3 linked regions of the Lonchura striata genome follow. The protein of the gene in region 3 purifies or fractionates together with the protein of the main gene of each other region. This does not show direct contact. Links are inferred from orthologs where the notes say so. Each region holds a gene or a part of one and is shown on either strand. Other genes may lie near its edges.

Region 1 (7,233 bases), on a different chromosome or scaffold from region 3:
CACTAATTACCAAAAGCCTTCTATTGCAGAGTTTGAATTAAACCTCGATTCAAATGACTAATTGTTGCAGCTTCTTAGGAAAAGAAACAAAAATAATTTCAGACACGAGATGCAGGAAACAACTCCATTCATCTAAACACACAGCTCCTGGGGTTCTGGCATGCTGGAACTGACTTTCATCATAGCAGACACTGAGTGCCACACAGGTCTAAAAGGTGAGTAAGAAAAAGGCCATCTCTGGGAAACCCATTATCAGTGGTTTTCCCCCAGGATCTACTGAGTACATGCTCTCCTCACTTAAAATGCCCCATAGCATTTTAACAAAAACATTTTTTTCCAGATCCACTGAAATTATTACCTCGAACCTCAAACAAGAACCAGGAAAAAAATCCTGGAGGTGGAATGCTTATTGTTTACTTTACTGTCTGAGCCCTGGTAACAATCAGATATTTGTTTTGGTTTTTGGCTTGGTTCTTGTCCTAGGAGAGATGGTTTGGTTTCCAGAGCATTTCACAGGTTGATATTAGGTAGATTGGCTGCAGAGTGAAATCACACATGAAACAGACAGAGCAAAATGCCCTCCTTTCTCAGGATCTAACCACACCAGAGGAGAGAAGAGAGACTAGATCAAGCTTTAGTATCAGGATCCCACAATCTCCTTACCAAACAGATTATAACTGTACTGGATCAAAAAGAAAGGATGATAAAACATTCTCATTCGTCACAGCCAAATACTTCAGCCATTTGCATCCTTTTACTGGATTATTTTGTAAATACCTGAAGAAAACAGTCAAGTCTAAGTACTCACAAGGGATAAACTTGTGTATGCTTCAGCTCCTTCCCTCCACCTCCCTTACACTAGAATTCCTCAATACTTGCAGCAAAAGCTCCAACCCATCTCTCCATTAAAGAGCTGCTAGAAATGGTTCACAGAAGCGTACTTCTCCCACCCAGAGTGAGAGAATGGCTACTTTCCAAACCTCTTAACCTTTGGAATATTTCACAGAAGTGACCAAGTAATGGTATCAGAAGATAGGCACTCTACAACACGCACTACAAATAAGACTACAGTTCAGAGATTTGTCTGCACACAAAAACACTTGCAATTTTAAAAGCATCATTCCAATAACCAAAAAAAGAAAAAATCCCCAAGAGACAACTCAGAACATCTAGACAAACCAGATCATGAACAATGGCCATATATCTCTGCATGCATACTTTTAAGTTCTTCTAATGATTTTATCTTGAATTAAGAAGGAAACAACTTTCTCGTTGTGCGTCACCCTTAATAGTTTTTACTTTTTGCTGCATGACCTTGAGCATCTGAGAGTCTTGATTTTCCGCTTGTCCTATTAAACCATCCTCTTGAAAAATCTTATCCCGTTTCTGTTTCTAAACAAAAATACTGAAGGTGAGCTCTCCAGCTCATGACTGTTTCCCCAGCTGGCAGCATGCCTATATTGTAAAGATAAACGAGATGACTAACGTCAGCTGCAAGTAAGAGAAAGCACAGTGGACACTTTTGTCTGGTAGGATCTTCTAGACAGAACACCCTCTGCCCCAATAGCCTGCAAGCAGCCTCAGGAAAAAGACTGGGACAAGACCAGGTTTAGGAAGCTGACTTTTCAACAGCAACTCTCAGCTCTGCAGACCTGGCTATGAAAGATTCAACATCCAAACAATGAGGAAAGTGCTCTGGCAGACTTAAGGAAAAAAAAAAGTCACAGCAAAGTCAAAAGTACAAGCACAAACTAAGCCAGTGAACAGAGTTTTGTTTAAAGAAGAGTGGTGGCAGTGTGGGGCTGGGGCACTGTTTAGCTACTCCTTCCACCCGAAATCTGGAAAAGGCTCCCACTTACTACCTGCAATTAATCAAGTGTTCTGAATCTTGAGCTACGCGGAGTGACTTGTGGGACACGCTTGCTCAGCTCATGTCCTTCTTGCTGCCCAGAGCTGACACAAAGCCAGTCAAACACTACTAGACAGAGCTATCTAATGCGAACAGTCTTCTCGTTCTCTGCTTTACATTCACTGCTACTTCTGTAACAGGGCTAGCAACAACGCTACAAGTACAATGTTGGGGGGGGGGGGGGGGGGGAAGGAAGAAAAGAAAAAAGAAAAGGAAAAAAAAATCCCACGACAACACAACACCCACCCTTTTCTGTAGAGCTTGCTCGTCTTTATTCCTGCACGCTGCCTGGCTGGCACTGACACCAGTAAGGAACAATGCCACATGTCACACTAACGACAGCTACACAATTACCTGAACGCAGCGTAAACCATCACCTACACAATTACACGCTATCTCCTAGCGGGAGAACTTCCCGGCAGAGGCAGCAAACCCCGGGAGCCCGGCGGGGAGGGCGCAGGGGAAGCGCCGCTTCCACCGCACCCCGTGCGCCCGGAGAACCCGAGCGGGGTGCGGGGCCCCTCCCGCAGCCCCCCGGGGGACAGGCAGGGGGGTCCCCGCCCGAAGGAGCGGCTTTACCTCCGCCAGGTGAGGTCTCGGAGCGAAGGAGCGCTCTCACCTCACCGCGACCACAGCCCACGCACCGGCTCCTTCACCAGCGACTACGGCTCCGCCGCCACGTTCCGCGGCCGGGGCGCCGCGGGACCCCGGAGCCGGCGGGAGCCCTCTCAGCGGGGAGCCCCGAGCAGCACCCGCGACCCACCCCGCTCCGGGGAGGCCCCCTAAAGTTTCGGTGAAATTCCCGGCGGCGATCCCCCGCAGGGAGCAGCGGGGACCGGGCCAGGGGCCGGCACAGCCCGGCGGGCACAGCCCGGCCCCGCCGGGGGCAGCGCCTGGCCGGGCTCCGCCGCGCCCCGGGCGGGCACGGCCCGGCGGGCGGCTCCTGCCGGCCCCGCCGCGCTACCTGCGGGCAAGGTGGCTGAGCACCCCCCGCCCTCCCCGCCGCGCACCCCGGCTCACCGAGCAGCAGCAGGACGACGAGGAGGAGAGGCAGGCAGGACGGCCTCTCCCCGCGGTGCCCCATGCTGGCAGGGCTGCGCGGCGCCTCTCCCTCGGCGAGCGGGACCGCGGGCGCGCAGGCTGGGCTGGCCCGGGGGCGCCGGCGGCGGCAGCGCTCCTCGGCCGGCCGCTCGCTGCCCTGCGAGCGCACGGAGCCGCCCGCCCGCCCCGACCGGCCGCGCCGCGCGGCGCAGCCAACCACAGAGACAAACTTTCCCAGGGCCCGCCCCGCCCGCAGGTAGCGGGGGCGGCGCGGCTCCGGCCCGGCCCGGCCCCTTCCCCTCAGGCGGGAGAGCGAGGGAGGAGAGCGGGCCCGGGGCAGCGCCTCGGCGAGCGGGGCCCCGCGGGGCACGGCGCTGCCCTCCGTGCCTCCCTCCCTTCTTCCCTGCCGGGCCGCCGCCGCGCACACGTGGCTGGGGAAAGCCCCGTGCGGGGAGGGCGGGCTCGGCGGCCGGAGCGTCCCCGGGACCCTCGGCGGCGGCCGCGGGCAGCGCGGGGCCGGGGCACTGCTCGGCCACTCGTTCCTGCCCGTCCGGCCCCGCCTCCGGGGCTGGGGTCCCCTCGTGCCCGCTCCGCTGTGCCCCCCGTGCCCCCTCTCCTCACATCCCTGCGCACGGGGCACCGCACACGGGTGGCGTCACTGCTGGCCCTGGCCCCAAGCGCAGCCCCAGCCGGGGCTGCCTGCTGTGCTGCGGACCGCCCCAGGGACGGGGGACACTCCTGCCCCCTTCCATGCCTGTGTAGCCTCAAAAGCCAGTGCCGGCTGTGCCCATCGTGTCCCCTGCCCTTCCACGGGCATCACGGCGATGCTGCCCTGCTCATGGCCTGGGTTAGAGCAGGAGAGCACACACACTCTCAAGTGTGTCTGTGCCCCAGGCACTTCGTGGACAAGACCACCGCTCCCTCCCCACTGATGCCAGGCAGCCCAACAAGAAGCATTGCTCTTTTTTGAGACTCAGTTTCTTTCCCCCTGCCTGAGATCCCAGTTTACTCAATAAGGGGCTGCTACAGCATGGCATTCGTGCCATCAACTCCCCCTTGCTTCCTTCTCAGCCTGCTCAGAGATTTTTGTTTGCTTGGGGATTTAATTTCCTGTTTGTTTGTAAAAACAAAGAGCAGAGGCACTGGGCGTCTCTCTAGTAATTCAGACAGTTATCTGCTCTTTCAGTCCCCTTGCCACGTTCTCTGTGAAATCTGTGCTCTCCTTGGGCACATCTTGCTGTCTGTTATCCAGGCTCTATGGTAGAGAGGGATCCACATTTTCCTGTGGGGGATCTCTGGAGCCTATGAATGGTTTGGGGCAGCTGTTCCTGCACAAAATGGCTGGTTTAGGTTTTATTCTAGCATCTCCAGTGCACCTTGCACTTGAGCATATACACCTTGCACTCAGTTTGGGCGGGGTTCAGGAAGTGTGTGCTGTGTTCTTGACTGAGCTTGATGATTATCAAGCTGGATTTTAGGCTGGACTTTGTTATTCCTTCCGTTACACTTTACGGGAAAGAGCGTGTTGCCTGATATGAATGAAATTAAACCCTCCTAAAACTGATGAGGATAATTTTCACTCTCCAGCCACAGTTACCTGAGCTCTTGCAAGGAGATTGACCTCTTTGCAGAGCTACAGCCACAAGCTGCCTGGAGAACACTTGGTCCTGTGCACAACTGAAGTTCTCCCAGCTCCCAGACAGAAAATGAGGCTGAATCCACAAATGTGACAGAGAAAAAACTGCCCCATCAAAACAAGGCTGTTTTCAAATATGTCCAAAATGCCCTCATATCCCTGCTTGTTCTTGCTGCCTGTTTCCAGACATTCTGCTCTCCTCCTTTAGCCAGCATTTAAGCACATTTTTTCTTCACTGGAAAATATCAGTTCCATAAACCAAGACGTCCCCTACATCAAATTCAGAAAGCAGGTTAGATGTCTCATCCTTACCAGTCAGCTTCTACCACACTGGTTAAACTCCTGATTGCAGCTTTAGTCCTGAAACCCTGCTATCCTGAGCCCTGGGTTGTGTTCTCAAGCACCTCTCACTTTTTTACTTCAGTAAGAACCACTTTTCCCCCCAAATATAGTCAGACTTCCAGAGTGAAGGGTCACTGTAACCCATTAATCTGACCCATATACAAAAGCCATAGATTTTTTCCTCAGCAGCTGGATCAAAGTGAGTTAGAAATACAACACGTCTTAAAGACTCCAAGTAATGGCAACTGCCTTCTTCCACCTACTAATTTATTCCAATGTTTAATTATCCTTGCTGCTAGGAAATTGCTTCTTTCAAGGTTGAATTTGTCTAACTTCAACTTTGAGACATCTGAACTTGTTATGCCTTTGCCTAGAAAACTGCACACCCATCCCATTTTCATGGATAAGCAACTATACATGGTGCTTCTATCACTTCTTGTTTAACTAAATAGATTGTTTTCTTTGAAGCCTCACATTGTAAGATGTAGTTTTGGTCACTGCAGATTTTTTGGACTCCAGTGTTTCTAAGTGGTTTTTTTTCACTTGCAGGCACCCAACATGGGTACAGTGTCATTGTGGTCTATACACACATGCTGTGCACATAGTAAATTTCTCAGCCATTGTTTTCCCCCTTCTCTCATAACTAAAAATGGAAGTAGACCATTTCTTGTGCTGTACAAAAAGCCTGTGGAGTTCATTACCCGTGTTGAGTCCCCAAATCTCTTTCTGCATCTGTGTTTTTCCTGAAAGCATATTTATCCTGCCATTCATTACTATGCTCTTCCCTCCTCAGAACATGGCCTTGCAGCAGGGTGTGTTAAAATACATTCTGTAACTGGTGGCAATTTAAGCACGTGTTTGAGATTCTCATTCAATTTGAGAGCCGTTTGTCCGAGGCTGGTAAATTGCCAGCACAGATGCCAGAAAGAGCAGGTCTGAAGCTGACCGCTGTGTTAGTCTACCTTCTCCTTCAAAGCCTGTTTTCTTCTCCTTTTTGTGTGTCCTATTTTCAATGGATTGTTACATGTATGTGATTATGTCATTTTTCCCCCTTGCCAATTCCATTTTGTATCGTTCAGCTATGAGAGCCAGTCTGAGCCAGAAGCTTTCTCCAAGTTGAGACAAATATCTTCCTCTGTTTTTGTGCATTTTCCATGTTTATTCATGAGCTGCAGAGTAAATACATGGTCAGTTGTTTGTTTCTCAGGAAGGCATCCCATTTGACTTTCAGTGTTTAGCATGTTGTTGATTTGAGTAGATAGCACATATTTATTTATTGATGATGCTGTAAAAATGCTTGCTTACGTTTCTTCATACCTACACTTCTGCATAATGTATAGGCTGAAAGTGTCTCTCATTTGGGGGTAACTAGGTTAGCCAGCAGAATTTCAGGGAAGGATCAAGATTGGAATGTTACATTAAACACACTATTATGCATGCACATGTTCATGAAACATGAACACACCCTGATCCTAAAGAAGCCCACACTCAACCACTCCCTGCTTGCACCACTCCCCCAACATACACTTGCTAGCTTTTGCAGTTTCTGTCTTGGCAAACATGAATAAACAACTTTTGCTCTCCCCACCTTGTTGCCTGAGCTGCAGAGGACAGGGTGAAATGTCTGTGTACAAGGCCCACAACCAACACGAAGCTCAAGACTAAAAACATTTAGAAGGGCTGTTCAACAGCAGAAGGACCCAGCACCTGCTTGATGAGGACCCAGCACTCTGCTTAGGGGCAGAGGTGCAAAAGTGCTCCTTTGATGCAGTGCAGATTGCAGGCTGCAAACCTTAACCAGGGGAGAAATCTTTTGGTGCCATTGCCTGGCATGTGGCAGCCAGGAGCTCTCCACAACAAACGAGAGGCGTAGGCAGACAGACAGGTAATGCCATGCTCCACTGCCCCGTCAGCAGCACAGCAGCCTCTAAGGCAGGAAGAGAGCTCTCAGTAGCTTCCAAGCTGTTTGCATGAGAACCCTGGGGAAAGGGAGCCACAGCACAAACATTGTCCTGGACACATCTGTGCAGGGCTGTGCCGTCTCATTTAAGGACTTCTTCTCAAGACCTAGGGACTTTATCCCCAGCATGCTGGTGAAATTCTACTTTGCTTGGTTTCATTCTGCCCCTAGGTTCCCTTTGTGTTTCCAAGCAGGCACAATACTCGTCTTCATTTCCTCTTCTCAACTCTTGTTAAATTTTGCCTTGCTCCAGTGAACAGAGTGCGTGTTCCAGCCAATGGGCTGTCCCATCACGGTTGTGGCTGACATGAGCGCCACGCTCGGGTTTGTGAAATGTTTCTGAGC
Region 2 (7,752 bases), on a different chromosome or scaffold from region 3:
CCCCATGGAAGCTAACAGCCAGCTGGCTGGCCTCACAGCTGGGTCTGCTCCAGGCCTGATGGGAGGACAGGTGTAACAAGTGTGGAAATGACCAAGCAGCTGTTTCCACTAGTTTGCTGCCAGAGGCACTTGGGCTCTCAGCTGTGCTGTTACAGTAAGCTAGATCATGACCTAGAGACCAGAGTCCTTGAGTGACTGGAGCTCCTGATCTTGTGCCTTGCAGGTTCTGTCCCAGGGCCATGTCCTGTCCAGCATCAGCACCCAGTGCAGTCCTTGGAGGTAAGTGCTATCAAAGTTGTGTGGAATTGTGTTCTGGGTGATGGCCAAAGGCTCTTTAGTCAGGTCTCTGTGAGCTAGGAGAGTGAAAGTGTCCTGAACAATAACCCTTTCTGTCTCTTGATGGGGTTAAAATATGTCCTGTGAAGGTTTGTCTTGCTTTCAAAATTCCTGGGGAAAATCTCCAGGGAGGGCCTGTGAATAACTTGCTTGTAAACCTTCTCTCTTCCCTCCCTGCCAACACCTACCCAAGAAATACCTTGTTTATCTTTCAGATCTCCTCTGCTTCCTTATACGCCATTGTTGGCTGCTTTGGTGCAAATTAACTAATTTAAGATGCACATTGAGGGAGAGTTGGCTAGAACTACACAAAAGTTTGCATCTGGTATCAGGTTATGTCTCTCTACACTGGTGAAAATTTCTCCAAGAGAGGCAAGGTTTCATGTGCAGGACATATGGCAGATCAAGAAAAGCATGAATGGTACGAATGGGTCTGAGATGCAGTCAGTGATACAAATTTCAGCTGTGGTAATGTAAGAGCTTTGGGGATATAAATGTCTCTGAGAAAACCACAGAATGGGGCTGCAAAGGTGCCTGTGATGTGTATAATGATGTTTCAGCTTCATCTTGCCTTATGGTGGGGCAAATCTTACACAGTGGTGTATGTTACTAGTGAATTAAAACACAGGCATACATTCAAAATCGCTGCAACTTTATGCTTTAGTTTTAAGTAATTTTGAAGGTGTATCTTTAATTCCTTCCATAGAAATACAAACTATGGCTGCTTGATTCCCATTTGTCACCAATGTTCCTCTGATCTCTGCACAGCTACGCTCATTAAGTGCCTCCTTGTATGTTTACATAGATGTTTACTCTCCAAACAGTTCTCGTCATTCTAAAACTACTTAAGGAATGTACCTGACAACTTGGGTGGAAAAACATTCTCTAGATGTAAAAGACTGAAAGAAGTGCTTCAGTGTTCTTTGGTGAACACTGGTCTCAGTGTTCACCAAAATTCCATGTCTGGACTGAAATATTTCTTTTGACTCATATTTTTATTTGTGTAATACTACATCTAACAACATAAAATATTTTAACATTACAAGCAAGTAAAGGATGGCAGAATGTCATCTTGTTGTTTTAGACATCAAAGAGAAAAAACCAAAGTTATAGGAAAGTAGTAACATCTTCATTTGGAACTGTTGCTTAAATAGAGCAATTAGTAAAAAACCTGCATTTTGGTTACCTTTCTGAAAAAATAGTAAAGAGAGAGAGACGGAGACATTCCTCATCCAGTTATAAATGACATAAATACAATCAGTGTTATGTCTGTGTAAGTGAGAATACCAAGTGTGTAAATATAACTATGTTCATGCTCTGGATTTAGATTGTTTAAAGCAAAACATTTTGCTTACATGGTATTGAGCAATTTATTTCAATCACCATTTGAAGCCCCTTTATCTCCCATGCTGCTGTTTGCGATTTCTAATGATTGTTAGGGAACTAAGAACAGCTATGAGGATATACTGGCAAAGATAGTCTGATAACCTGGCTGCATAAAAATGCAGGTGTTTCTTGTAGCTGTTAAGAGGGGTCTGTTGAATAAATGTATATAATTTTTCTAGAATGTGCAGTTCTAGAAATGGTATGGATATTGTGTTCAAGAGAAAACATCCAACCATTCAGGCTACTAACACTTAAACCTAGTTTATATTTCTGAATTGAAACAATGCTGTATCTTTGGAACTTTTATAGTAAACCAAACTTTTTGGTGATATCATTTTTTTTCATCCGGAATTACATAAATTAAGAAATCAAGCAGTTTTTAAAAGGAAATGGGATGGGGATGTTTACATATTTTGTCTTTTCAGGACCATTTGATGTGCTGCATTAAAGCTGCACAGCTGAACATCCACAAACTGTGTATTTCTTTGTGCAGTATATTGTTGATACAAAGGATAGAATTTCAGAAATGTAAAACATTGTGCCTTGCCTTCCTTCTAGGGAAACCCTTCAAATGTCTTGCCAAGCTCTAGCTTCTGCATTCCACCTCTTTTATTTTCCAGAAATGATTTTTTTTTTTTACTTTGTAATTAGCTACGCAGTTGTACAGAGGAGGAAAGTATTGCTGGCAGTAATGCATGTGTCTACACATTGAGGCTTGCTCATTGTGTAGACACAACATGCAAACATCTTGTAGCCCTTCAGCCGACTATCAACACACCATTAATAAGCAGACAGCTTGAAAACTCAGCAATAGCACAGTGTTTGTTACAAAAAAGAGAAACTGCTTTGATCTGGCCACTGCATTTGTTAGAATCGCTGCGTTATTATGCATAACAGAGTGCTCATGTTTAATTGGTCATCATACCTAATCTTCGTATGGTCCCCCTTTATACCAGGATTGTAGAGAAGAGGAGTTCCTGAAGTATGTGTTAGCTACAGATAACTCACAGTATGTTTATTTTGGAGGAAGAGCAAAGGAAGGAAACTGACATATTTGTAAAACCTTTCCCCCCCCCCCCTCTCTCCTCATCTAGAGCAAATGAAAATAGTACGGAATTATGAGAGACCATCCAAGGTAATTCTAAGCTGTTCATGTGCAGTTTTGCTCCACCCTGTATACACTCTATTTTTGTTGTTCTTGCTGTGGTCCCTTGAGACAGGTGTTAATGTTACTGTGTCTTGGAATGCTTGTTACTGCATCTGGAGATGAGAAAATTCTGTCTCCCCTCAGCAATCTTTGTGGATATGAACAAACAAGTACAACATGCTCAGGCAGTGCTGGTTAGAGGGAGGGGGAGAAGTAAAATAAAACTAATGTGCCAGTATCATTCAGGAAGCTCTGGATGAAAGTACTTCTGTGACTTCTTGCAAGTTACTGAGTACAAGCATTACTTAAAAATTAACTATAGTTACTATAAGAGTATTAGAAGCACACAAGTTTTGATTGTCCCAAAACAGCTAAAACTTTGGTACAGATATCAACACTGTTTTAAAGGACTTGTTTTCAAATCTTTACTAATTACTGTGAAATACGTAGATGATAGTAAAACAGCCTGTAATTAGTCTGGGACCCTGCCCTCTTACAGGTCCTTAAGTGAAACTAAGGCAGTATTTATGCCAGTACAATTTTCTGCTGTGGCAGTGATTGAACACTGGATTAAGACTTTGAAGGAGTTGGGCATGGAGGAGCAAGCAGGGAAGGACTCTATTAGTAATAAATATCTGGGAGCTTAATTTAACAAAATGTTTTGTTTCCACATTAGAAACACAATTCTGGTGCATTTTCTTCCCCTCTTTTGATCAAGGGTGTTTTGGACTTGAGCCAGACTTGTCTATACATGGAGGTATCCTAGAATAATTACTCTGGAAAAAGTACTTTGGATTAACTCTGTGGGAGTATTGTTTCAGAAGGAGTTATTTGGAGTATCAACAGATTTGAGTGCTCTGTCTCTATTGCCCTTTTCTCAGTTTCTCTGGAATCTTAGCTTCTTCTCTCTTTGTACTCTAGATACCAGTAGAAAAGAACAATTGAGTATTGTCATGCTGCTAAGAATTTGTGAGGTTTTAAAAACTTGCATCTGCTTTCCTAAACCAGAGCACTAAACCAAGATTCTGTTCAAAAACTAAAACCTCTCTGTTTCTCTGGAGTGGGTTAAGTTGATAAGGTATGCTGGCAAATAAGCTTTTGGAGTTATGGGTGAAAGCATGAGAAAATGACCTGGGATCCAAACCAACATACTGTTTTTGAACAATTAAAAGGTAGGAATAAAAAATTTTCAGATATGTTCAGAGACAGGAAATGCTGGAGGAGGAGATTCAGGTAGTCTTCAGTTTCTGTTTTCATGTGGTCTGTGAATAGTCTGGTAAAAGAGAGATTTTATTTTTTTCCCAGTCCTTTTTTTTTTTAGTTCTTCTCTTGCACGTATGAAGGAATTTGGGGAATACAGACTCAATACTGGGATCATACTGTCCATAGTTCTGTACCAACCTTAGCACATTTGGGCAATGTTATGCCCATGGTCGGTACCCGGACCGACCTGACGGCGCTGAGCAGCAGCCAGACCGGTATCAGCCCCCCAGGGGGGCATGGTTTGATGGCTCAAACACATCTCCCCCCGCCGTGGGAGCTCTCTGCCCTTTTCCCCAACGGTGCACGGGGGCTACGGCCCGCTCCTCACCTGCGGCCGTGACTCGCCCCTCGGTAAGGCTTTATTTCGTGTCGCGAAGCGCAAAGCCATCCGAGCCCGCGGCCGCGGCAGACGGTGAGCCCCCTGGGGGCCCCGGGAGGTGATGGGCGAGTCACGGGCGGGGCGACGCCCTCGGCTGCCCCTCCCAGGGGAAGGGGCCCGGCCCCGGGGACATTTTGTGCTGTGCCGGGGGCCGGGCAGCCGCGGAGGGCGGGGCGGGGCGGGGCGGGCCCCGCGCGGAGCCGGCGGGGCACAACGGGCGCGCTCGGCGCGGGGAGCGGCGACGGCGCTGGCGGCAGGTTCCCGTGCCGGGCAAGAGCAGATGGCGGCCCTGCTTCTCCTCTACCTGCCCCTCCTGCCGGGGCTGGCCGGCGCCTTCAACCTGGACACGGACAACGTGATCAGCTGGAGCGGGGAGACGGGCAGCCTCTTCGGCTTCTCCCTGGCCATGCACCGGCAGCTGCAGCCGCAGGAGAAACGGCTGTAAGTGCACCTCGCCCCGCCCGGCCCCGTCCCGGGCCGCCTGCGGGGACCCTCCTACCTTCCACCGCCGGGAAACTTCCCCTGGCGGCGGGCCGGGGTCGCCAGCCCCCGCGAGGTGTCCGGCCGGCGGCGGGAGCGGGGCCGGGCCGCCGGCGGCCCTCCGAGGGATGGGCAGCACCTGCCGCGGGGCGCTGCGGAGCCGGGGCAGCGCCGAGCGGCGGGGACGTGCGGCGGGGCGAGGGGCCGGCCCCGCGCCCGGGGACCTGCGCGGAGCCGAGGCTGGAAAGGGGAAGCGAGCGGCAGCCGCCGCTGGGAGCCCTTCCCGCCGCGGCGCTCTCCTGCGCGGGCCGCGCCGGTCTGCGCCGCCGGAGCCTCCCCAGCGCTCGGGTCTGTGCTCCGCGGCATACCCGGCCTCAGGTAACTCCGGGTCTGCTGTTCGACACAGACCCTGCCCGGGAATGCAGATGAGAGGTGATACAAAGAAGTTAGGAAAAATAAGTCGGGGCTAGTGATGTATGCATGAAACTTCTTTTGGGAAATTACGAAGGCAAAATAAGGCTCCTGTGTACATCGTCAGCATCCTTGCTGCTTTGTGTCCATAGCGGAGCAGTGGTGGACCCCACCCTATCCAGTAGTGCTGGATAGCGTGTGAGTGTAAAGTATTATTGTTAAATAAATGCCTCCTCCTCAAATATTTAGTTTTAATTCAAGGCCAGATACATTCATTATCCATATAGAGTTTACGAAATGAGGAAGCTGGAAAGATATAATATTCTTCATAAAGTTAGGTGGTAAATTGAAAAATCCTGTGGGCTCATTTTGCTCACACTTGCGCTCCTGTGTGATTTCATAAAAATTACAGTGTGTAGAGGAGTATAAGTCACATACACGCATGTTTCATCTTCCACCTAGCAGATAAAATGACCCATAGTATCCTGAGGAATGAAATGCAAATCTATGAGCTCCTTTCCAGAGGCCTTTATCTTAATTCTTGACAGGATTACGCTTGCATAAGTCTACTTTTAGAGTAGACTCTTTTAGTACGACCAAGAAAGCAATGCCTGAAGCTTGTTAGTCTCCTGTTGTATTGTCGGTCCTGGCAGAATGAGTGTGTAGGAATATGCAGACAGCCAATTACTGAGAAGAAAAAAGCAGCAGAAACACAAGGACAGTCACAGTATTCAAGCTGGTATGTACTATTTGGCTGAAATGCTTCAGAGATTATTGGCATGAAAGTTCTGTATTGTATGTCTAGTAAGTGCTTCCTCAGGCAGTCAAAGAGCAGAGCCAGATGCTATCTGCCTTGACATGGCTTTCTGAATCCAGGCTTTCATGAGAAGCAAGGATCTCTATTAGAGACAAAACCAGGCTAGACAAACTGCGTTTTATGGTGACATGTGCTTCTGAGTATGAGGTGTCTTGGCCATTTTTCAAATCCATGAGTTTTAGCATAAATAATTGGAAAGCTACCCTGGGTAGCTGCTGGGTAGTATGCTTGGAATGAAACCTTTTATGTCAAACAGGCATGTTGTAGTCACTTTGAACATAATTTTTGTGTCTGTAAGAGTTGTAGTATGTGGCTTTATGAGAACAAGACATTAAATATGCTGAACTGTAGCTGTCTTAGGGACTGAGCTGTGTTTAGCTCACTTTGAGTTCTGCCTTCTGAAGAAGGAGGTTTGGTGGGGAGTGTTAAAGAGAAGCCTTCCATGTTAGGCTGCATTTTTATATCAGATAAAAATGAACTAGGATGAGCTAATACCAAAGGATTTGTGTGGTCTTTTCCATGGATTGATGGATTCTTCATAGCTGGAACAAATGGTATCTGCTGTCTGGATACTTGGGGAAGGTAGAAAGTTATGGGAACAGGAGGTCACACTGAGGTCTACTGCTGAGAAACAGTTATTTCTAATGCCTTCATGCTGCCTGTTACTTAACAGCAGGACTCAGGGGTGCAATACCTCTGCATTCCCAGGTGCGTTTGGGTCTGTCTTACCTATGCTGCAAAAGTGAATTTATATACAGCTATCTCTTAGTCAGATAGAAGTATCTGTTTTACCCTTTCTTCTTGAATAGATGCTAATTTCAAAATACAGTTACATTTAGAGTGTGAATACTGTTAAGTAGTTGCCAAAAATACAAAAACTCCCAATTCATACTGAAGCATAATTAAGAGTGATACTTGGAATCTCATCTGGCAGGGACCCTTATTTCAAAGAAACCTGTCAGTTTGAGCACCTTTCTGTCCCTCAAGTTTTACAAAATTAGGTTGTCATTAAGCATGTGCAGGATTAGTCCATCTTTGGAAAAACAAGAAAATGAGAGAAAGTAAAATACACTGATTGTATTCAGGGGCTAATGGCTTGGTAAAACAAATTAAATTATGTGTAATTTTCCTCTTACCTCACTTACGCATTTGTTAAGTGAAATGGTTCCCTCTTCCTCACACAGGAGTGTTCAGTGTGATTTAATCATTGCAATAATCCTCTGTAAAGATGCGGGTGGAGAATGTCTGGGAGGTGTGACAAAGGTACAGCTGAAATAGCCTTTGATTAAACATGGTATTTGCTTTTGACCATCTTTTTTGCTTAGTCACAGAATGTTATGGATTTCATATTAGCTTTGAATGGCAAATTAGTTTATTAGTGTTAGCTACAAATGCCATGTTTTCTAATTGCTTAACTTTCACCATTATGAAGAGATGACTGTTCAATTGCTTTGACATTAGTTGTAAACGGTGCTGAGTATAAAGCTATGGACTAATAACAAGATTTTGATTTTAAGTATCTTCAAATTAGAA
Region 3 (7,279 bases):
CCAGTCTTGACTCTCCAGCTCCAAGACCAGCCTCTCGCTCACAGCCTCAGATGTGGAAGGAACCACTCACCCATCACCATTCCAAAATATTCCTGTGTTGAAATAAACCAAAGTACCTTAAAATTAGTTTGGAAAGGTGAGACCAGAAGTAAGGCAGTTAGTGTTATTTTCCATGGACAAGCTCAAGAGTTTAGGATGACCCAGATGACATCAGCATAGGATCTGTGACTTCCTATTTCCTCCTTCCTCTCAAAATCCATCCCCAACTCCCTGACAGCAGAGAACTGTGTTTGTACAGCCTCACTGTTCACCAGACAGACAGATCCAGCCCAGCATCACAGTCCCTGCTAAAAAAAAACCCAATCACTGAAGCTAAAAAGCAAGCAAAACAACCTTCAGGTTTTTAATTTTGTGACTGGCTTGGGCAGTCAAAGATGTAACTTTTCTACAAAGAACAAAATGTTGTTGTTGTATTTCTCCTTTAACTGACACTCAAAAAATTTGTTAATCCCTGTCCTTTGGTGGGGAAAGCCTTGTACTTTATCTCTCTGCAGTTCCCACCGTTTATGCCTGGCTTTTTAAGGGAGCTAAAACCTTTTAAAAGACCTGGAACTGTTTATGCAAAGAAGGTTAAAGGCCTCAAGCCAGTTGACACTAGTCCTTCCAAATATTCTTAAGGCAGGGATATCAGGAAAACAGGTCAAGGAGGCAGGGAATTCTGCAGTTCTTACCAGAGAATCCCACCATCCTTAAATACAGTCAGGAGAGAAACCCCTCCTCTCCTTTGCCTTCCTATATTAATCAAAGGATCAGGGTCCTTTGGATTGTGCAGTCTGAGGAGAAAATCTTTCCTGGCGAGAAGCAAATGCTTCTCCTCTTCACTATTGGCCCAAACATGACATTCAGTTTCACATTTAAATAGGATAAAATAACTCAGCCTACCTGTAGAGAAAAGTTCTACAGATAGTTAGTGCTGGGTCTAGATTGTTGAAAGTGTAATTTTAAAAGGCTTCTGGTAAACTCTGATTGGTTGTTTGTTTTTTTTTTTTTTTTGTTAGTAATATCCTGAATTTGCTTTTCTCTGTGCCAGGACAAAATAACTCTTTAACCACCCAGGGTAATTTTAAGTGCAGATAATAAATATTTCATGTAAAATGCCTATTATCCCATGCAAATACAAAGTGTCAAAATAATAAATCAGTGTGAAGTACTTCTACAAGGGTCATTAACTTCCTTTAGTGATTTCTATTATGCAGAAATTCAGTTGATTACTATCTCATTCCACTAGTTAGAGAAGTTCAGGTGTGGTCAGAGAATTGCATCTACCAGATCGTTACACCCTGGAAGAGTGAAACATAAATGTTCTCGCCAGATACTTTGTATGGAATGGAAAAAAAAAAAAAAACAAACAAGAACAAAAAAAAAAAAAAAAAACCAAAAAAAAACCAAAAAAAAACCCCACAAAAAAAAATCCAAGCCACAGCATTATTTTCCTTCCATATTCTCAAGAATACTGAAGATGTACAAACACATTTTACTTCCTCATAACTTAATTTGCCAGGTGAATGGGGAGTGTTTAATTTTTTTTCAAATGCACAGGAGGTTTTTATTGAACAGGTCCATTTCTTGCCTCTGATCAAAAGGTTACTGCCCATGAATTTTAAAGAAAGTTGTTTTAACGCAATATTAGCATAAGAAGCTTAATAATACAAAGCTAGGAGGGAAATTATCCAAAGTTCTTCTGTGATCCTTAATTTTAGAAACTTAAGGGAAGCTATATTACTGATGCTACCTAACAGCATAAATCTTAATGGCAAAGTGACAAAAGAAAACCAACCCAGAAGATACACAGAAAACCTTGCTCAGTTACCAGGAGAGTTTAGTCACATACATTTGTTAACTCCATCCTTTCTGGATCATTATTGTTGTGGCCGGCCTCCATCCCTCTGCTTCTCTTTATTTTATAGGAAAGGTATTCCTGATTTTCAGCATGTCAGATAGGTGAGATGGTATACAAGCCCCCTTTCATTAAAAGATAAGCTGCAGTCCAACACCACTGGCAATTAAAGCCCTGCTAAGAGTTTTCTTATGGGTAAGAACAGCCAGCCTCCTGTGACACCAGCTGGGGTGACCCATCCACTGAGGTCTAAAGCAGCACTTCCCACCTGCAAACCCTGAATATCATTCCAGGTCTGCAGGAAAAAATGTATGAAGTATAAAAAGAGATGCTGGTGGAAAGAGGAAGTGACTTTTTCACAGGCTTCCCAAGCTATGGAGCAATCTGTGGTGGGGTCAGCAGGAAATGACCAGAGACCTCACAAAGACACAAAGAGTCTGTAACCAGAAATATTTGGAAACCCTATTCTTGCTCATCTGACCATCTCACAGAAGGTCCTGAAGTCAATGACCTCACTAAAGTGGCAAAAAATAGACAGCTCATTTTGAAATATACTTCCATACCATTTTTTTTTCTCAGGGACCTCACATGACATCTTAAGAACCAACAGCTTCAAAGGAACAATATTCAATACTGCAACTTCTACTCAGCAATATTTCCTCCTCCGTTCTCAAAACAGTTAGAAAAAACTGAAGGGAGAAAAGGAAAACCACCAAGAGGAATTTAAGAACTGCATTGGAGTGGGGAGGGTAAGGAATAAGAAAGAAAAATCAATAGAATGAAACACAAATTTCAATCCTACAAGCAGCTATTTTTTAACTAACAGCATAAATTCTTAATGGGAAAGTGTCAAAAGAAAACCAACCCAGAAGTTACACAGAAAACCTTGCTCAGTTTCCAGTTACCATGAGAGTTTAGTCACATGCATTTGTTAACTTCATCCTTTCTGCATCTATATTGTTGTGGCCTCCATCCCTCTGCTTCCCTTTATTTTATAGGAAAGGTATTCCTGATTTGTAACCTGCTCTGGGAAGCAGCTGCCCAAGCCAGCATCTCCCCCTCCGTATTGCCTCTGGAATGTGCTGTATCTTATCCTTTATTTTGGCAACAAAAACTCCAATATGTTTTTATTTGCATTTCAGCATGGCTTTTCTGTTTTTACTGTTCTGTTTGGGTGTTTTTTTGACTCTCAATACCTGATTAATTTCTAATCCCACTGTATGAAATTAAGGTACAAGCCCTCAGTTTTCACCCCTGAGCTAAGAGGCTCAGATGCTGAGTGCAGAACACCCTGTTACGATGAAAGGGAAATTCTTAGTTGAAATTTACCTTGTTTTTTCTCACAACTGGGATGACCTAAGAGCACGTGTGCAACCAGCTACCATGGATCAGTTGGTAGGCTGAAACTTACCCGCCTTATTTTCCTAAAGTGGATGTTTGTAATTTCATACAAAGTTATATTTGAAGACATATTTGAAATATTAAAGGAATTGAACTACGCTGTAAGTTTATCTTGTGTGAGAAAACATCCATTTAAGCTAGATGGATTCATTTTAAACTAAACATCCAGCAGAGGCCACAAAGGTGATGAGGGCTCTGGACCATCTCTGCAGGAGCTGGGCCTGATTATTAAGAGGAGTCAGAAAGGGGATCTCATTAATGCATATAAATAACTCAAAGCAGGTGTCAAGAGGATGGTGCCGGACTCTCTTCTGTGGTGCCCAGCGACAGGACAGGGAGCAATGGCCATAAACTAAAACAAGAAGTTCCACCACAAGACGAGGAAGAGTTTCTTTACGATAAGGGTGGCAGAGCACCGCAACAGGCTGCCTAGGGAGGGCGTGTGGATTCTTTTCTCTCAGGACACATTCCAAACCCACCTGGAAACATTCCTGTGTCGCCTGCTCTGGGTGACGCTGCCTTGGTTGGACTGGGTGACCTACAGAGGTCCCTTCCAGCCCTAAGGGTTCTGAGATCTGTACCAAAAGCAGGCCGGACTGGGGTGGTGGGCTGGATTATACATTAGGAGGAAGTTTTGCACCCAGAGGGCGGCGGTGGGGCACTGAGCGGGCTCTCCAGGGAATGGCCACAACCCCAACCCTGCCAGGGTGGGATCGCAGAGGCGGCGCCGCGCAGGGCCGGCAGCGGGACCCCGACGTTCCCGGGGCTTCCCCTCCATGCCGGGACATTTCCGAGCCCCAAGGCTGGCGGGGCCCGGCCCCGTGTGGCGCTGCCGGAGCCCGCCCGGCCTGGGGCGGAGAGGGGCGGCCGCAGGTGCGGGGCGCGGCCGGGGGCGGCCCCGGGGGCGGGCAGGGGAGTCCCCGAGCGGCCCGGGCAGGGCCGCATTTAAGGAGCGGCGTCGGAGCGCGGCAGCCTGGTGACCGCGCCCGCAGCCGCCACCATGCCCGTCAAAGGAGGCACCAAGTGCATCAAGTACCTGCTCTTCGGCTTCAACTTCATCTTCTGGGTGAGGCGCCCCGGGCTGCGTCCCCCGCGCTGCCCGGCGAGGAGCCCGCGGGACGGGGATGGAGGGGACGCGCCGGGAGCCGCGTTTGGTTTGGTTTTTTGATGCCTGTTTTTTGCTGGTTTCTCCACTTGCTGCCCCCCGCCGGAAGGAGAGGGAGCGGGTGCCGGCGTGCTCACCGCTTTATTTTTCACGTTTTTGGGGTTTTATCGAAAGGCGGGTTGAGGGCGCTGCCAGGCGGGGAGGGGGTGCTGGGTTTGTGCAATTCTGCTCCCACTGTGCATCCCCAGCACTGCACACAATCCTCTCCCTAAAACTGTGCGCAGGTCGGGCTCCCTGCCGGCTTTCCCGGTGCCGGGGCTGAGCCCGAGGTGAGCCGGCTCCTCGCAAGTTGTCGTGTGTGTGAGCTCCTCGTTGTCGGTGGGAGCTGTGGCTTCCCTTCGGGTTTAATCTCCTGGAGCAGACCGGCACCCCTCGAATCGCGTCTCCGGTGTGGTTCCTGGCCGGCGTGAGAAAGCATGGCTGAGCCGAGAGGTTGGAGCTGTCCTCAAGCCCTCGGGGCGTGGGCACCTCGATTTAGCGCTGGCTCCTGCGTGGAAAATTACTGCGGGAGCCGCTCGTATGCCTGACGGATAGGAGCAAAGTGTGTGGCTTCAAAAGCTGCGTCTTCTCTCGGCTGTTGGCCGCGGTGTGGCTGTGATGTGGAGGAATGAAGTTGGAGCTGCGGGAAGAAGCCGCGTCTGGAGTCAGTCGCAGCACTGCCCGTGGGACGAGTGGAAGTTGCCGTGTTAATAATGGGCGAAGTGCTCGGGATGTCTCGATGCCGAAATGGGTTGCAGCAGAGTTGAGAATACACAGCTGGGCTGCAGTTGAGGGAAGCTGTGCAAAACTTGACCCAAAAAAGCATATTTTGCCACCCGGGACTCGCCAGCAGCGCTGTCGCATTTGCAGGGTTAGAGCTGATCAGAAGGAAAAGCCTAATAAAACATTGTCTGAAACTTACATTCAAGTGAGTTTCTAAACCTGTTAAACGAGACTGAAGTACTCGTGGTTTGCCTTGTTTTTGTTTGTTTATTTCAAAGCCGTAGACTTTCTGCAGAGTATTTTATGGGACAAAAATTCTTGTTGTGGCAACGGCATTGCCTCAAAGAAGCTTTTAACCTGAGCTTCACCAGCTTGTCTAGGGACCAGGGCTGAGAATAGGGAGAGAGTTTTTGTTTAGCTCGGGATCTACTTGTCGCTTGGGAGTGTCATGATCATGAAGTGCTCAGGCTTTACTTCTACCTTTAGGGGTGCTCGCGAATACAGAATTGTACTGGTGACGGGGTGGATGGAAGGAGAGTGGTGCTGCTGCCCAGAGGAGCTGCGAGATGATGGCTTTTCAAGTTGGCTTCTTGAGGCTAGCAGTATGCAGCTAGGATGTGGGAAAGAGAAGAGGAAGAAAAAAGGAATTAAAAGGAGATAAATGCATCTTGGTGATCCCAGTAAGTGTCTGGAGGCCCCAAGAGGCAGTGAGATGCAAGCAGCTTGGTTCAGCCAGAGATAAGGGAGTGTTTGACCAGCTGGAGTGATCCTTGGTTTGTGGGGACCACCACATGTCATTGTGGCCTGCTGAAAACAGTTGAAGGGGAGTTTAGGGGGTATGGTGTTAGCAAACCTTGTGTCCTCTATGGAGAAATAAAGTAGCTGTATCTTGGGTTATTCCATATTGAACAGCATAAAAAGAAAGGTGTTGTGGAGCTGCCAGCATTAAAAGGCAAGAACCACCCTAATAAGAAAAAAGGCTGTAATGTTTTATTATGGCTTTGCAGATGTGAAAAATCTGTGAAGTAATGGAAGTGTGTTAACAAAACTTGTTGTGCTCAAGTGCGATTCTGTACCTCTGTTTTTTGAAATAAGTTGCCTCAAAAGGATAGGTCAGGAATTTCAGTGGTCTGCAGCAACCCTGCACAGAAGGCTGTGGGTGCCACGTTAGGTGGAATGTACTTGCTTCCATCAGAGGCTTGAACAAGGGTAAGAGGAAGTAGAAAGTCTCAAACAACTTGGTAAAGGAAGCTATTGAAATAAAAATTGAAACTTTCAAATTTGAAGCTGTATGCAAAGGAAGGAAATAAAGGTTCATAAATGCTGCTAATGTTAGCCAAAGGAAAGCTTTAGGAGTAATTTGCAAAAGCAAACCCAAGTAACATACCCCTTCTCAGACACATGAGGAAAAGAGTTTCTCAGGGAGTTCTTCCAGACAGTAATGGCTCCAGGTATAAAAGTTTTGGGAGTGATGTTCAGCAGGACTTTATTTTACTGGGGAAGATTTTCACAGAGTTCTGTGCCATAACCTGTCTTTGACTCTGAATCCTGCACAGGCTTGAACTGACCTTTTGATGCAAAGGAAGTGAAACAGGAGGAGCAGCAAATGTTTGATTAACAATTCTCCAAGGTCACACAACACTTCAGAACATTTAAGTGAGTTGTGATTAGGTAACTCCCCCTGCCTACCATCCCTTCTCTGAGCTGGAATGCAACGAATTGGAGGCTGGGTTTTTGCTTTAGGGTAGTCTGGAGCACACAGGGAGTAGCACACATGGACTATCTGGAGAGAAGATTCCTTAAAAGCTGGTGTACATGTACAGGAGTGACTAGCTACTGCAAGGGGAAGTCAGACTTCATGAAGATGCTGCCTTAGAGCAGAAGCCTGAATGTTGGAGAAGGCGAGGACTGGTTGGCGTTGGTTCACTTGTTCAATATCTCCTGGAAATCTCAGGCCTCTTGTGCAAACCAGGCAGTCCTGGAGTAAGATCCTGGCAAGAATGAGGTAGATGGGTATTGGAGTGGAGGCAGGGCTGTGGTGAGGTGCAGCTCTGCTATTGCAGAGAGAAGCACTGTGCTGGTCAGTATAGCCCCACCTCATCTGAAGAAGAACA

What was found.
Region 1: the proteins of CD9 (region 3) and PTGFRN purify together in Homo sapiens (co-immunoprecipitation; 8 studies listed by BioGRID and IntAct, with this or other methods). This does not show direct contact. The link is inferred for Lonchura striata from reciprocal best matches to the Homo sapiens genes CD9 and PTGFRN.
Region 2: the proteins of CD9 (region 3) and ITGA6 purify together in Homo sapiens (co-immunoprecipitation; 3 studies listed by BioGRID and IntAct, with this or other methods). This does not show direct contact. The link is inferred for Lonchura striata from reciprocal best matches to the Homo sapiens genes CD9 and ITGA6.

What each region holds. Positions count from the first base shown.
Region 1 is NC_134604.1:14,647,378-14,654,610, forward strand, and holds the start of PTGFRN (prostaglandin F2 receptor negative regulator), read right to left. Parts: upstream 3,074-7,233; 5' UTR 2,994-3,073; coding exon 2,930-2,993; intron 1-2,929. UniProt on the Homo sapiens protein: Inhibits the binding of prostaglandin F2-alpha (PGF2-alpha) to its specific FP receptor, by decreasing the receptor number rather than the affinity constant. Functional coupling with the prostaglandin F2-alpha receptor seems to occur.
Region 2 is NC_134610.1:20,603,680-20,611,431, forward strand, and holds the start of ITGA6 (integrin alpha-6), read left to right. Parts: upstream 1-4,696; 5' UTR 4,697-4,791; coding exon 4,792-4,952; intron 4,953-7,752. UniProt on the Homo sapiens protein: Integrin alpha-6/beta-1 (ITGA6:ITGB1) is a receptor for laminin on platelets. Integrin alpha-6/beta-1 (ITGA6:ITGB1) is present in oocytes and is involved in sperm-egg fusion.
Region 3 is NC_134607.1:3,688,798-3,696,076, reverse strand, and holds the start of CD9 (CD9 antigen), read left to right. Parts: upstream 1-4,232; 5' UTR 4,233-4,298; coding exon 4,299-4,364; intron 4,365-7,279. UniProt on the Homo sapiens protein: Integral membrane protein associated with integrins, which regulates different processes, such as sperm-egg fusion, platelet activation and aggregation, and cell adhesion.